2 linked regions of the Danio rerio genome follow. The protein of the gene in region 1 interacts with the protein of each later gene in a biochemical or structural test. Links are inferred from orthologs where the notes say so. Each region holds a gene or a part of one and is shown in the gene's direction. Other genes may lie near its edges.

Region 1 (3,835 bases):
ACCCTCCTTGTTAACTCATTATAAGTTTGTCATGTTCACCTGTGTGTCAATTTACTTTTTACTTTATAATCATGTTTTCAGTCCTGTGCCAGTTCGTCGTCGTTATTTCCATGTCCTGTGCTATCCAGTCCTGTTTGTCCTGCCAGCCCATCCAAGTTTATTTGAGTGTTTGTTTTGTAGTTATGTTTTTCCCCCTCGGGGTGGTTTTTGTTGTCCTTTTTGTTTTATTTTTATTAATAAATACCATCTTTTGTTGCATTTGAGTCCTCGCTCCCTCATCCTTCCTGAAACCCTGACAAGGAATGCCTGTAAAAAATTTAAAATGAGAACAACCTCATTTTAACCATTGGAAATCAATAGTATTATATGATACAACTGATAAAACAAATTGGTAAGACTTTTGGTAAGAATTATGGTCCCTATTGGACATTTTGTTGACTAAAGGTTGCAACTACATGCCAATTGCTTCTTGTTTGAGTTATAGTAGACTGTCTGCTTAATATCTGTTAATACTGCTTCTTCAACAGACATTTAACTGACTATTAGAAACTTTGCAAGTACATGTCAACTTACACTAACCCTAACCTTAACCTAACAGCCTAATGTAATATAATCTAATGAGAATTCAAGACTTCACACTTAGCTGATGATTGATTATAAGCAAGTTTGACATACTTTCCCGGAAGAAAGCCCTGAGCCCAAAAGGTCCTTAAGCCCTGGGCTCCATCCCGTTTGCAGGGCAAGGGGGGAGCCTTGAGGTAGATCTCGACAACTCCCCCCTTGATAAGAGCTGATGACTAAAATGAATGCTATGAAGAGATATGCTGCAGGATGAGAGTTTGACTGTAGTGCTAAATTTAGGTTGATCAATTCACATGTAGTGCATGCTTTTGGAATGTGGGGGGAAACCGGAGAACTCAGGGAAAACCCACACGAGCACGGGAAGAACATGCAAACTACGCACAGAAATGGCCTGTTAAAGGACTAGAACCGGTGACATTCTTGCTGTGAGGCAACAGTGCTAACCACTGGGCCACCATGCCGCCCTATGAAGGGAAAGGTGGAGAAGTAGGGGTGGAAGGGGGGATTCTTCAAATCGAAGATGGCTGTAGTGAGAAACCCTGGCTCTTTATAGTGGGTTAGGACTGGCCTGAGTGGTGGATCATACGTAGCTAATGCAGAACCAGCTGTGTTCAGTCATAATCACGTGATCCTCTCGAAATTAGTTTATAAATAAACTTCACTTAGTTGGCATTTAGATGCAATGTAACATAAATTCTACAAAATGCGTTAAAGGGACCATCAAAATAAAGTGAAACCCAAAAAATCTGATAAAAATAACAAATGTAATTTCTGCATTCAGCAATTTAGTTAAGGAGAGAATTAAAATGTAAAAAGTAAATGGTAAATTCTATGTTAGCACTCAGTTAAGGTTAATAAACTTCAGCTCATACGTTTATTGTACTTAAAACTGAAATTTAGTGTACAATGTATCTTTGGGGTAATATAAAAATAGCAAACCTAAACTTTTTGAAAACTGGTGTTGTCATCATGAGCCGTGAAAAAAGCAGTGCATGATGGGCATCGCATAATCAAAAATTGCAATCATCCTTTTTATTAATTTAGGTTTTTTTTAAAGAATCATTGAGTATGTTTACATGGACACCAATCATAATAGTTTTAATTAGATCAAGATAATACTCTGATTAAGAGTCTACCATGTAAACAGCGATTTTTGATTAATTTAATCCGACTAAAGTCATAATCGAACTAAAGAGAAATCGAATTAAGACGTAGAGTATGCAGATTTTAGTCGCATTATTGAAGTGCAGTACAGACATGTAAACACAGCAATCAAACTATTACCGCCATGTAGGATTTTCGCTGCATTTTGCGACAGGATATTCCATACACACTCGGCTGTTTGACACTATTCTCTGCACCTGTCGAGTTAATGAAGGACCACAAACATTAATTGCAGCGCTTTTTTTCCCATACGGCGTGTGGTGTCAAACTCCATTTGAACAACACACGTCCAGCAGTTTATTCTCGCATCCAATATCTCGTTTGTCACGGGGAGCTTGCATGAAATGTTCCTGAATGAAAGTGAAAGTGTCAAATTGCAATTAGGTTCAACAAATCAAAAATGAAACACCTGAAATTACATGAAACTTGGGAGGAAATGTGGATAGCCTGGTGACGCAATGATGTTAATCGAATTATGTGCTATAACATGTAAAGAGGGATCATGAAAGGAACATTTGAAAAGCAACTCATGTAAACACCTTAATCATATTATTGTCTTATTCAGATTAATGCAAATAATTTAACTACTGATGTCCATGTAAGCGAAGTCATTGTAAACATAAACCACAAGTAAAATATACTTGGAATAAGTTCAAAGTGTCTACAATTACCTTTTTAAGTTTTGTTCTTGCTTGTACTAAACTCTAAAATTATATTTGCTGCTTGTTTAAATTACTTAAATTGAGTTGAAACAACACAATTTTTAAGAGTTTTTGAGGACAACGTAATTCTTTTATGTTCAATCCACTTAAATTTGTAAAAACGATGAAGTTAACTTAATCGATTTGTGTTGGGACAACATAACAAAACTGAGAGAAACCCAGCATTTTAAAGTGTAAATTATTTAATTTGGAAATCACTTTTTTTGTAGTATTTTCTTGATCGCATTATAATTTTTATCTCTGTGAAAGAAAGTAAATAGTTTTAGACTTTTTTTAGAAAATGTTTTGGCTCTCATCTTTATGACTGCTTTTGTCCTTTTCCACTACAGCTTCAGTCCCCAGAATCCTTTGCGAAGAGCGTGCAGGAGCTCACCATAATCCTGCAGAGAACAGGAGACCCAGCCAACCTGAACAGCCTCAGAGCTCCTCTCGAGCTGCTGGCCGGCATCGACCACAACCCTGGTGAGCTCTTACACCTCCACAAACACCATGAGATAATATCATTGGAAATAACCGCTATTTGTGTGTGTGTGTGTGTGTGTAGATGCAGCTGCTCCATCTTGGCCAGAGCTGGAGAGTGTGTTACTAGCCGTGAAGGTTGTTGTCCATGGGCTGGTGGAGTTCATCCAAAATTTTAGCAAAAAGAGCACTGAAAGCCCTCAGGTATTGCTTCAGGATCTGCTGAATACATTCATTCCATATTACTTTAATTATAGATGTCAGAAATGCAAAATGTTTTACTGTGATGTAAATGTATTAGGGGTTTTCAAGAAGGTTGACATTGTTTAATGTAGTATGTGACAGATCTAGCTGTTTACTTTACCCTTGATTTCACACTATTATTTATTGGTAATTTTGCAGTATTGCTAATTGGATGGTCTGTTAAAATATACAGCATTTTTGAATTTTAAAAACATATTCATCCTATGATGTAGTTATTCAGTGAGTTATTCAGATTCATCAATATTAGACCTAAAACGTATGAAGCACAGTTGAAGTCAGAATTATTAGCCTCCCTGAATTATATGCCCCTCTGTTTATTTTTCCCCTAATTTCTGTTTAACAAAGAGAAGATTTTCTCAGCACATTTCTTAACATAATACTTTTAATAACTAATTTCTACTAACTGATTCATTTTATCTTTGCCATGATGACAGTAAATAATATTTGACTAGATAGTTTTCAAGACACTTCTATACAGCTTAAAGTGACATTTAAAGGCTAAACTAGGTTAATTAGGTTAACTAGGCAGGTTAGGGTAATTAGGCAAGTTATTGTATAACGATGGTTTGTTCTGTAGACTATCGAAAAAAATATTGCTTAAAGGTGCTAATAGTTTTGACCTTAAAATGTTTTTCTAAATAATT
Region 2 (3,495 bases), on another chromosome or scaffold:
TGAATGCTACAGGCATTATAATTTAGCAGAAATCGCAAAGGCCCTTACTTTAGCTTCAGCACATCAGGACATCACTAGTCTCTCACTGCACTGCTGTGAACTTGATCCACTCTTCTCCAGTCTCTTCCAGAGTTCAGTAGGGGTTTCTTAGATATAACTTTGCTGCAAAAGACTTTGCAGACTTTTTAGTCAGGTTTAGTTTGGGACTCTGGTCTGGCCATTTCATTATTTCACTGTGCTCAGCTTAACTTGTTTTATTGTTTTAGACACTTCATTGATTTTGGTTATTTTAAACTTAGGTCTCCAGTTTTTACTCTAGTACCTTTATATACAATGGCTCACTATCTTGAAAAGTCAGTGAAAATAAAAGGTTTGGCTGCCAGTAAAATAGGGTTTATCAGATAAAAAAAATTACCAGCAGCTGCATTTTCGCACCAATAACTGTGAACCTGTGGGGAACTTTGATGTATAAATGATGTCAAAAACACATTGCAAATTGATTTGATGTCAAAACAAATGAGCTATGTTTTCATCCACCTATTTTTATGTGCATTTTGGAAATCGAATGATGGAAACGCCATGATGTGCATAAATTTTGAAAATGCCCATAAAGAACATATGTGCATAACTGAGTAGGATAAACTTTTTATCCTATAGGAAAAAATGTGCAAACTTCGATGGAAACACTTTTACCGAACAAATTCCAGTATGCTCATAAAAAAACTGCGATTTTGTTATAAGAGATCATTTGATGATAAAAAATGTGTGTGAATGGACAAACCAGCAGGCTGACCGTATTGTAAAACCACTGAAATGTTGTTTTGGCCATTCTAAAACGCCATAACCATTTCCGTGTTAATATATTATTAATTACTTCCAGAACTGTCAAGAGTGTCTGTACTCCACATCTCACGCCTTCGAACGCTACCACACATTCATTGTGTGTCGACATCGTCTTCTGAGGCACAAAGTTATTTATTAAATAAGGAAAAGATTCACGCAGCTTCTCCTACTGCAGCAAAAAAAATTTTTACTGTAGATATTTGGTGCCAGTTTTGGTGCTTTATTCGCACATCTTTTATGCTATATTTCAGTTTTGTGGATAAATGGAATTCACATTTTTGGATGGAAACATAGCCATTGTTGTCCATTTGATGACCAAAATAACAACACAAAGTATTATAATATAAGAAAAGTTTTTTTAATCTGAAAGCTTCAATTACAAATATACCTTGGACAAATATTCAAGGTGTAAACTACCTTGATGTCAAAAGAAATTTAAAACAATGATTTAAAAATAAAAAATAAAATCAATTGGGTGTTTTTGGCATCAATATGTTTCCATCCAAAAATGCGAATGAACTTTATGTGCAAAACTGGATTATCGCATAAAAGATAAAATAAAGCAGCGTTTCCATCCAACGAGTCAAAGTGAACAAAATCGTCACTATCTGATTAACTGGTGCCCTATATCAACAGTAAAAACAGAATTTTCTGCAGTAGGAGAAGCTGCCTCAGTCTTTTCCTCATCTAATAAATGACTTGCGGATCAGAAGGCAATCCTGACACGCAGAGAACGCGCGGTAGCGTTTGAAGGTGTCAAGACGCGGAGCACAGACGCTCTTGATTCTGGAAGTTATTAATAATATAACACTAATACTGAAACTGTAAGGTGTTTTAGAATGACCAAAACAACATTTTAGATGGTTTACAGTGTGCTCATACTGTTTGTCCATTCACAGACATTTTCATAATCACACGATCTCTTATCGCAAACTCACATGACCTTTTTTAATGCGCATACTTAAATTTGTCAGGTAAAATATTTTTCATCGTAGTTTATTCGCATCTTTCCTTATTGAATAAAAAGTTCATCCTACTCAGTTATGCGCATGTTTGTTATGTGCATTTTCAAAATTTATGCGCATGATGGTGTTTCCATCAACCATTTTTTAATGCGCATATGCAGAATGCACATAAAAATAGGTGGATGGATGACCATTTGACATAAAAAAGGTGACGAAAATGCAAATTGATTTGATGTCATTTTGTCATCAAGGTGCATGTTGGGAATTATCTAAAAGAGATAGCTAATTTTTAATCATCATTTTAAATATCATTCAAGTTTTTTTAAAACTGTGCTCAATATTACAAACAACCCATGCTTAAAAGCTACTTTTAAATTGTATATTGTTCTCTAATTTTGATCTTTTCTGTCTCATTGTTTCTACTCAATTAAGGTGGAGCGATGAAGGCTTTGTATTCCTACAGTCCTCTGGTAGACTCGTGGACGCTGATAATCCAGCTGGGCTGTGAGAGAGCCAGCTGTGGCATTGCTGCGTGCAACAACAAGCTCTTCATTACTGGAGGCCGCGATGACAAGAATGAGGTGATCGCGACAGTTCTCTGCTGGAACCCGGACACAAAGAAGTTAACAGAGGAGTGTGTGCTTCCACGTGGAGTCTCTCATCATGGCAGTGTGACTATCAGGAAGTCCTACACGCATATACGCAGGATAACACCTGGAACTGCCACTGGATGACAGATATATCAGCTGGAGAGTGCAGTTTTACAGTTTGTATAGTGGAGGCTTTGTTGTTTAGCCTCCTTCTTAGAGCGCCTGCCTCTGTGTGGAACTGAAAAGGTTACATTGGGCTCTACTAACATTTATTAAGCCAGGTTTATATGGAAGCCCTAAGACTGTCTTTCTTGTTCTCTTGGTGTTGACTTTTAAGTTGGGATCATAATAAAATGTGATGTCGAGAACAAAACATGTGACAATGAAAAAAATTCAATGCTGCGTCCCAATTCGCGTACTATCCATCCGAAATACTATTTAAAAATAGAATTTACTGTTAATTAATATCTAGCCCACTGGAAAATATTTAAATTGCGTTGTCTGTGTTTTATTTGATCTGCAACAACAATACTGAACTAATATAAAGATGTGTTTGCACATTAACGTCTGAATGCATAAAGAAAATTCTCTGCATGAAAGACTTGTGAATGGCAGATTATCCTACTGTTGCTTCTCCAGTAAGACAGGAAATTAAATATGGCAGAAATATGGTGAATGATGTGTGGATGATTGGCAGGGCTCATAACGAAGCAACACATTGATCCATTAAAGTGGAAGTAGTGTGTTCCAAAGCTTCTATACTCTTGTTACACAATCAAAAGTATATATTTTATCTTCACAAAAAAGTACATACTTCCAGGGCTTAGTATAAGTAAATGAATTGGGATGCAGCACAAGTTAAAAAGATCAAAACTGTCACAATAATGAAAAAAAAAATGGTCTGGAATAAAAAAAAATCTTTTAAAAAAAATGAAGTTGTGTTAATGGAAGAACTTCAGTTGAGATTGTGAGTATGTTTCAGTTGTAATGATGAGAATCATGCGCTGTAAAATATTACATGCAAGACTTTCAGAGTTATTTTAACTGATTTAAAAATATTTTCTAAGTTGAAACATGATTATCTTTTAATAAGTTAA

The links.
Region 2: the proteins of rc3h2 (region 1) and klhl6 form a complex in vitro, tested with the Homo sapiens proteins (2 studies listed by BioGRID, with this or other methods). The link is inferred for Danio rerio from reciprocal best matches to the Homo sapiens genes RC3H2 and KLHL6.

What each region holds. Positions count from the first base shown.
Region 1 is NC_133185.1:10,221,435-10,225,269, forward strand, and holds part of rc3h2 (roquin-2), read left to right. Parts: intron 1-2,797; coding exon 2,798-2,930; intron 2,931-3,012; coding exon 3,013-3,131; intron 3,132-3,835. UniProt on the Homo sapiens protein: Post-transcriptional repressor of mRNAs containing a conserved stem loop motif, called constitutive decay element (CDE), which is often located in the 3'-UTR, as in HMGXB3, ICOS, IER3, NFKBID, NFKBIZ, PPP1R10, TNF and in many more mRNAs.
Region 2 is NC_133177.1:39,635,618-39,639,112, forward strand, and holds the end of klhl6 (kelch-like protein 6), read left to right. Parts: intron 1-2,240; coding exon 2,241-2,542; 3' UTR 2,543-2,665; downstream 2,666-3,495. UniProt on the Homo sapiens protein: Involved in B-lymphocyte antigen receptor signaling and germinal center formation.